Linked DNA regions of Drosophila melanogaster. The protein of the gene in region 2 interacts with the protein of the main gene of each other region in a pairwise test. Each region holds a gene or a part of one and is shown on either strand. Other genes may lie near its edges. The genes, in order: CG34230 and CG14823.

Region 1 (3,060 bases), on a different chromosome or scaffold from region 2:
CGGCCACCCAGTACGGCCCACCACCGTCCGCCCCATCCGAGGAGTACGGAGCACCACCTGCCCCCCGCACCGTCGAGCAGTTCTAGTTTGTAGTGTCGTCTAGGTCTACAGCCCATGAATGTAAATATTATTTATGATCGCTGCCATTAAAGAGAGTTTAGAGAAAGCAAAATCAGCCGGATCTTAAAGTCCTTGGGATATTGATGAAAAAATTATTATAGCGGTTACAGTATTTCATATTACTACCTTGAAGTCATGAGCGCTCCATTCGTTGCGGATCCAGAAATCTTGAGATACGATCATCAATCAGTGCATCTTAACAAAGGCACTCGATATTTTTTTTATTTACCAGGAGCACGCATTGAATACAAATGAGGTTACTGCGCAAGTTATTGGGTACCGATAATTGGGAAAGCAATAATTTATATTGCTCAATTATGCATTACTCGTTATTAACGTCGAATACAATATTCAACTTTCAATTTGTTTATTTGGTTACTTAGGTCAAGATTGCAAAAGCGCATTGAACAATGGATTACAACATGGATTTCCCTTAAAATTGTTAAAAATGTATGTAAAGCGTTAAAAATATTTATCATTATTGCAAGATGTTGCAGAAAAAGAAAGTAAAAATTGACCGGAAATTGAAGATATTATGGTTAGATAATTTCCAAATATACTATATGTTTGCCAAAAAAGGTTATAAATTACTTTATTTTATATCCAAAATGATAGAACATTGAAAGAATAAATTTTATAAGGACCAATATTTAACAATATACTGTAAAATTTACAAGCTCACGCGTCCTTTAAGCGATCATAATAGGAGTAGACCACCAGCCAAAAGTACAAGCCTAGAACTGGAAAAGGATTTGGCCAAGTTGAACATTGTGCCGAAATATTGAATGCAACTTACGGGATTGAAGAATATCGAAAACTAGATATTCATTCATGATGCCCTCTGTGGCTACAAACACGCCCTCGGCAACTAAAATGAAGAACCGCAGGCAGGAAACTGAGAGGTAAGGCAACAGAAAATATCTCAGGCCCTGTAATTAGACAGCTTTATATTGTCCACCAACCAAAATATTACGGATCCCTACCAGAACTGCTCCCAGCAGTAGAAAAATGCAGCAGATAACGTAGATACCGCTCACCACAAGGGAAAAAAGTCCCAGCAGGCTGTCACCTAAGAAAGCCAGTTATATCTTAGCTATTCCTATGCTCAGGACCACTCACGATCAACAAAGAAGCGATCTAGTCCACGTATTAGCACCTCAACGATGGCTATCAGGATGCTTCCGCACTTCAGATCCACGCAGCAACAGCAATTGTCCGAGTAGATCATTTTCGTTTCTTTTTGGGGGGTTTCTAAGCCAATTTCGGATACGAACTGCCTGGCCAACTGACTTACAATAGCAGGTAATTATGATGAAGTCTTTAATTCGGAGCACGTTTCATGTTCCAATGCTTGCTGCATAATTAATCGGCTTGCGTAGCTTAGACCAATTAAGGTCAATGCCACCAAAGTGCAGTGCAATCGGTGGTCTATATTTCACATTAGAACTAGTGCGATTTTAATCGAACACGTTATCAAACTAAATTAATTGATTTGTTTAAATACTGTAATATTATTATCTTTTACATTCATTTGAATATCAAAAACATTAGTGGAAATTCTTTAAAATACTTTAAAGTCTAAGAAATATGGTTTAAAGAGGGGAAAACTACATCTTAATGCGTTATAACACTACTAGAATGAGGCAACTTATTCAGGGAGTAAACCACTTTGTAGTGCTGGGGTAACAGCAGTTTGAAATCCTTGCCCAGAAAGGTGCATCAAATATCGACAAAATTACACATATATTTATTAAAAACTCTATAGCAAAGTTAATGTACAAGAACCAAAGCTCTTTGCATCTTGTCAACTGCAGAAACTCAGGACTCGCAAGCTGGAGAATGTAGAGTAATATGTATTTGTGGCTCATCCTAGCCTAAGCGCTTTTAAATGCGAGGAGACTTATTTCTAGCCCAGTAAACGCAATGATTTTATAGTCAGCCTACAGCGGACTTTCGTCTGCGGGTCCGCCGAACTCCTCGCCCTAGGGGAATCGTCCTCCGTTGTTGAAGTTGTTTGGAGGCGGACGACGAATGGGACGACGGTTGCGGGTCCGTTGCGCAAAGCGATTGTTATTGGCTGACATCTGGTTTTGCTGAATGTTTCCCGGCGACGTGTCCCGTTGCCAGACAATCCGCTGCGGACGGTTCTGGCTGTTGGGACTGCCACCCCTCATGGCGCGATGTCCTCGTCGGGTGGGCACCGCACTACGCAGCGTGCGAAATCGCGTGTTCTCCGACGGTGAAGTGGCCTCCGCCTCCCGACCCTCCTCCTAAAAAGAAATGGAGAGCAATCAATTTAGGATTCAGTTGGTGCAGATTGGTCTTGGTTTGGATTACAACAGAAACATTACATCCATTCTTCAGTATTTAATATTCCATGCACTCCATAAGTGGGGTGAACTACAAATCATATCCCATGGGGTTAATTACATTCAAAGCAACGTATTTCCATGCAGGGTCTCATCGGGACCAACCTGCTTTTCTCCACAGCTATCTTGCCACCAATGCAAGTACTACTTACCTCAACACCCACCGCCTGCTTTTCACCCTCGGAGGAGACGCCGTCGGCTCCCTCGCTGTCCTCGGTGGGGTTTCCCTCGCCAAGATTGGCTTGGTTGTGGGACACCTCCGATTGGCTAGTGCCCACATTTGGATCTGGATAAAATTGAGTGCTTAGTTTTCCAATCCATTTACACTATTTATTATAACATACTATCATTTCCTAGCGGCTGAGAGTCTTCTCCTTGGCCAGTAGCCATTGTCTCCTCGGCGAATGCCTCATCTGCTTCTCTGGCGTTATCTGTTCCGTCAGCATGATCACCACCATCGTCAGCAGCTTTAAGGGCGTCGCTTCCGCTGCTCTCCCCTGCCTCGCTCTGTTTTTGCGGAGAACTGGCCGAGGCAGCTCCCGTATCGCTGGGGCCTGCGCTTTCATGAGGC
Region 2 (5,930 bases):
TGAAACTCTTTTGTCCTTGGCCATGGCCAGTTGGCAGCAATTCAGCAGTTCAGCCGGTCGGTCCCCAATCAATCAAACAATCAAGCCATGTTTATCAACAGCGCTCAATATCGACAATAACTAATGAACACGAATCGCGAGTCTGAGTCGCTTCTTATCGGATTGTCTATGCCGCATATTGTCTGCTCATTTGGACTATTTCTGTTTGCAACATGCGCTATTTGCACATTTGATTGAATAAAGTTATGTACACTTGTCATGCAATCGAGAGATTAGGACTCAGGCGAGGCAGAAATCAACGTCATCGTCCTAGGGATAAACAATGCCGACTTACTTGGGCATTGATGTCGGTAAGGCTAAAATAATTAAATGTGAAATATAAAATACAGAGAAAAATATCTCGGTATTAAAACTCTGCCAACTTTATAAACATTGAAGTTGAATCATGAATTAACAAAAAGTTCTTAGATTTGTATTATAAGTATATGCAAACCTATGCCATAAGTCTCTTTATCCTGCGATTAAGAGTCCGACAAATCCTAGGTAGGCCATGATGGAAATCATAAATTTATGCATTGCGCATACGCACTGTTTGCCCGCTATCAGTCGCAACAAATTAATGCGACATGGCAGCAATTAGTCCGGCCCTGCTAAATGATTTAAAACTTGCGCCAAAACTTTTGTCTCCCCTCCGCTTGTTTGTCCGCTACATTTTGCGCAAACTTTTAATTATTACACACTTGCGAGTTGTTGTTCAATTTGTTCGCGATGCTGCCAGATTATAAAGTTTTGTCGAGTTCAATTATGTACGCCGAATCGTCGTCATTGTTTGTTCTAATTCGCTCCCATTAACTTTGTGCTCTGGACGGCCCATTTCGATGTGCAATTAGTGTGTCCATGCCGGGAATAGCGTAAATTTTTTATACGAATCTCAGAGTTACTTTGCCTCAGACGGCCTGGTGCCCAAAATCAAACTATTTTTTCTTTTGCCATGTTCGAGGCAGATATAACCATCTGGCCGTTTTTCCACTCGGAATCTGTGGATGATAGGCGAAGATATATCATAAAGGTTATTCTGGAGTTATGCGTCTTCATTGTGATAGGATTTGTTCACTGGATCCTGGTGCTAACCTTGCTGCAGTAAGATTTGGATAATAACTTTTTTACTTATGATTTATGTAATTACTACTAGCGAATGGTTTCTGGTCTTGGTAAACGAGCACTCATCTGCATTGCTCCTAGCCTTTGTATTTGGCATTTTCCTACTTTTCCTGTTTGCCCTAAGTATGCCGCTAAGGAAAATGTCCTGTGTCAACTGGCTGATTACGTTTATTATCGTGGGTATTCTAACAATTAAATTACCTAACAATGTAACCCCATAGCATATTAAGGTGGAATGTGTGGTAGTTTCTCTCAGTGTGCTGATCATATCATCGGGAGTACTTTATATGCTTGCCGGATTTCTGATTGTCAGCCTTGCATTTGTGTTATGTACACTTATAGCTGCTTTAATGGCGGTAAGCTAGTACAGATAAAGGATGTTAAATAATCAACCAAAATCTTGCCTAAGTATGACCTCACAGGCACCGGACTCTACCTATATGCCCTTGCAACTGGCACTTACTCACTGAGCATATACTCCCTGGTATTGTATGTGGTTCTCGACGTGATCTGGGGATTTTATCTCTTCGCATTCTGTATCGGCTGTGTGGTGATGATGGTAAGCATTTTTCGCATTTTACCAGCCTGCAACTGTCTGCCGCATAACCACAAATCACTTGCAGTTCCTGATGTATCATGTGCAGTGCATCATGGGCGGAAGAAGGGCCTCGACCAAGTTGTTCGATGACAAGTTCGCCGCCCTGCTGCTGTTCCACGAGTTCATAGGCCTCTTTGTGCTAACCCTCTACTGGCGGCCCATAATGCATCGCCTGCAGTTGAAACAATAAACGAACAATCGGTTTTAAGTAATCCCCCTGTATTTCAAGCAGTTTTCCAATCTCCTCTCAGACAGGCTCCCCAGTGGCTCCTGCCTGCGGCAGCCGCCGGGTCCTCTCATGTGCAGCCTCACATGATCCCGACACTCGATCCGTCCGTCTCCATTGCAATCCTCGCCACCATATCGCTGCACATAGCTACGCACAATACGCTCGGCGCACTGGACATCCACCACGCATCTTCCGTAGTCTGTGGGTTGAAGGGTGAGATGTAGGAAAAAGGGTTAGTCGGTGGACATTACACGCTTGTGGCAGCCTGGCAACAACAGGATACACATGAAGAAATTTACAACAAAATCTTGAAACTGAAGATGAAAAGCAAATTTAAAATTAATAGAGAAATGGAGAAATGGCTTATGCTTTCGACTTGTTGTAATTTTGTTGCCAAACATTTTTGCTCAGTGTATTCATTACCCCGGGCGAGTGAGTCGTCCGGGTCAATTATCCGGAGTGCGTCCTGCCAGTAGACGTGGGAGATGCGATAAATGCCGCACGGCTCCTCTGGTCGTCCTCGGTGCCTGCAGATTGCCGGAATATTATCCGTGGCAGTGGTGGCCATGCAGTCCAGGCACTTGGCACTGGGCTCTGGGGAGGATGTCGGAGGCGGCTGGAATGTTGTTATCGTCGAGGTCTGGGCATCTGCAAAATGCATTCCAAAGAGGGTCCAATTAGCCGTTTAATCGAAACTATTTACCACACAATATGGCTAACAGCATGCAGCATAGTTGGCAGTGAGTTATCCATAGTTCCCGTGGACGTAAATAGCTCCTAGACCTCACGTTTAAACCGCACTCTCCTCGTTAGTTGCAAAGTTTTTTGAGTATGTTTTATTAGCAGATTTACTGAAGCAACTTTAAACTGCACTTTTATGAACTTTAAATTGATGTAAAACATAGTTCCGACTATATTTTGGCCTTATAAGTGCAGAGGACGTTGCTAAACGAAACTTAAATTGAGTTCACATTTGGTGTTTACAAACTTCCTGTTACTTAATAAATATAAGTCTTCCGTCGGAAAAATAATTGTTTGAGACTAAAGTTTTCAAGTCGAACTTAAGGCGAATGTAGAAACTATAAATCTATATTGAATGCTGGCAAACTTTAGCAGATGTGTATTTATTATTTACAGTTTAATCTCAAACTTTTACGTGCTTGACATACTGTCGATGACTGTCACTTATTGAAATGATCGATTAAAATTTTTTATATACAATAAAAACAACTCACGCGTTGCATAGTTGTTGTGTAATAAATACAAGCTTTTATTTATTATCGCTATAATTTCGAAACGTTGAAATCTGCTGGTTCATCTAATGGCAATTCTAATCAGTCAGCTGGGAAAGAAAAAAAACAAAACAAAGAAAAAGAGAGAAAATACCACTATCCCAACAATATAAACCGCTTATAAAATTAACCGAAGTCTAAGAGCTTCTTAGCGATTGAACAAGAGTCCTTGTGGCACACTCACCCACTCCCGCAGCGGTGACCATGGGAAAGTCCTCCTCCAGGACCTCCACTTGCCCCCGATCCTTGAGATTGATGTGCAGTCGGCCCAGATGATGCTTCTGTCTTAAGTGCATGTAAATGGCGCCGATGATGAGCAGAAGGGCGATGAAAATGGCGCCCGTACTCAGGACTTGGCGAGTGCAGCAGGACCTTCGAGTCCATCGTTTCCGCTTACGACTTTCCCCGGACATTGACAGCGCTTCGGCATATTCCTGATGCTCCACCACCTTGGACTCATCCGTTTCCACATCATCCTCACTGTATTTGGCCAATTCCGCCACACTGCTGCTGCATGTGGGCTCCATGGCGAGCTGGCTTCTCCCTTTGCTATCGCAAACCGACTAACCCAAGCGAATAGCTGGAACACTCTGTGGCATTTGTACATGGTACCAAGTTACAGGTGCTGCTCGAGATAACCTCCCCTCGATTATCGCTCAATGTTGTCGGCGTAATTGATGCCCGGCGATTGCGGTTTCTACATTCCCAGCGTTTTTTTTTCCCCCGACCAGCTAATCTGTTCCAGCGTTTGTTCTCCATTCCTCCAGCATTTCGGTGATTTTTCTCTCGCATTCAAGTGGCGCTCAACATGGTGATTTTTCTCCAATTCCCGAACATCAGTAGTTGTACACCTCAACAAGTTTAAATTGCATGTGGTTTCATTCCTAAAAGTGGCACGAATTTAAACAAGTAGTGAGTTTATTTTAAAAGTACTATATTCGGCAGCATTGGCGACCAAGCCGTGCTTATTTTGCACATAATACTCAAACTAATATGATTGAAATTATTTCAGAAAGTGAATAAAAATATTATCAAAAATGTGGTATCTGCATTTAATTTTAAGCTTTGTATATTTTTAATTTCATTCTCTTATATTTCTTTGGCATTTGATTAATTATAACAGCTCTAATAAAGAACTGAATGTATGCACAATTTTTCATGGAAGCATAGTTTAATATATTTAATACATATGTTTTCGTGACATGGAACATAATTTTTTTTTTAAATTTCAGCAGTATGTAGTTTTTATTGATTTTATTACATATTCATTTGATTTTTTCACGTGTATCTTTAGATTGGGTGTCGGTGACACTCCGCTTCCATTTGCGACATGACAACTTATGGCAGCCGTCCATTGAAAGGGGGGAAATGGGTGGCGATATTTGCCAAATGGGTGGTGGTTGGGTGGCTGGTTTTGCTGATAACCTTGCGCATTTGTATGCGCGAATTGTAAACAAATATGAGAAATTGTTGAGACTCTTGCGGCGAAATTGGAACGAAAGTTGGGGCAGCAAACAACAGCAGCCGTTTGTGGCACCAGTATCCAGTGGAAGGAGCGTCATCCTTCGAGAAGGGGTGTGACCAGGACGTCCTCGAAGCCTCCTGAAGTGCCACTTCTTCATACGCAAACTTACTTCACGACCATCGAAATCTGTCAACAGCAAAGTGTGGGTGTACCCGTGCAATGCATCCTAAAATGCTGCAAATCTCTGTTTACTTCCCATTTATTTATATTATTTTTCTAGAATATCTTCGATCAAGTTTGTTTGCTATCAAGTGGGACAGCAAAGATTTTTCGAAAACTTTTCATTGAGATGAGAACAAAGTTGTTGACACCTTCCAATCACGCCTTGCATTCTTGGACTTTTGGCACTCAAACAATTTTTACAAACTGCTTCCAAAAGTGTAAATACAAAAGAATTCCATGTTTTGCGAAAATATCAAACAAATTAAAGATTTTAAGATTTTAAAATGGGAAAGAAGACTTTGAATTTATTTAAGTTGTTCATTTCCTATTTAAAGAAATATACAAGCAAATAATTTCCTTCTTTTGCCAGAGCATGCTCAAATATTCGTTAAGAATTTTTCCAAAACTATCGTCCCTTTTTTTTGGGGACGCCTCTGAACACATCCTGCACAGGTGCTCGGCAAATAAAAGAAATGCTCCGTCACTTAGTTGATTATTCTTTCAGTTTTTCTGTACAGCAGCCATTTCCACATTGCCTCGCCAATGTCGCCATTGTCTCAAGGCGTTTCCGTTTCCCATTTCGGTATGTTTTTCTTCACATACGGCCAAGGCAAAAACTCATTTGTATGTGTGGGGGTGCGTGAGGGTTTCCTGCCCCTGACTAACACATGGCCAGATGAAAGGACGAGCCAGACCGCAAGCCAAAATCAATTATGGAAAAATTACCAGTGGTTGGGCTAAATGGCCTTTATACCGTTTGGATTGGGATTGCTTTTGGGATACGAATGGGATGAGGGTGTCGCCATGCATGTGAAATAATATGCGGTGAATTCTTTTCTTGCAAATTTTCCACTCCAGTTCCTTTTGTGAGCTGGCATTTAAGACCTCGTCCTTCGGGTTTTCTCCGCGCGCGGAAAATGCACGAAAATGGGAAAGGAAAATGAAAATGAGCTGAAATCTGAA

What was found.
Region 1: the proteins of CG14823 (region 2) and CG34230 interact in a two-hybrid assay, tested with the Drosophila melanogaster proteins (one large-scale study listed by BioGRID).

Annotation. Positions count from the first base shown.
Region 1 is NT_033778.4:11,859,645-11,862,704, reverse strand, and holds CG34230 (uncharacterized protein), read right to left. Parts: upstream 1,396-3,060; 5' UTR 1,349-1,395; coding exon 1,240-1,348; intron 1,190-1,239; coding exon 1,104-1,189; intron 1,050-1,103; coding exon 917-1,049; intron 861-916; coding exon 799-860; 3' UTR 690-798; downstream 1-689. Other genes in the region: Twdlbeta (tweedlebeta), read left to right, coding at 1-86; Mgtor (megator), read right to left, coding at 2,103-2,390, 2,642-2,775, 2,834-3,060.
Region 2 is NT_037436.4:7,064,261-7,070,190, reverse strand, and holds CG14823 (uncharacterized protein), read right to left. Parts: upstream 3,878-5,930; 5' UTR 3,808-3,877; coding exon 3,465-3,807; coding exon of another isoform or gene 3,418-3,464; exon of another isoform or gene 3,331-3,417; coding exon of another isoform or gene 3,323-3,330; exon of another isoform or gene 3,224-3,322; intron 2,637-3,223; coding exon 2,412-2,636; intron 2,188-2,411; coding exon 1,964-2,187; 3' UTR 1,950-1,963; coding exon of another isoform or gene 1,785-1,949; 3' UTR 1,721-1,784; coding exon of another isoform or gene 1,571-1,720; 3' UTR 1,518-1,570; coding exon of another isoform or gene 1,392-1,517; 3' UTR 1,338-1,391; coding exon of another isoform or gene 1,193-1,337; 3' UTR 1,141-1,192; coding exon of another isoform or gene 992-1,140; 3' UTR 728-991; downstream 1-727. Other genes in the region: CG32391 (uncharacterized protein), read left to right, coding at 992-1,140, 1,193-1,337, 1,392-1,517, 1,571-1,720, 1,785-1,949.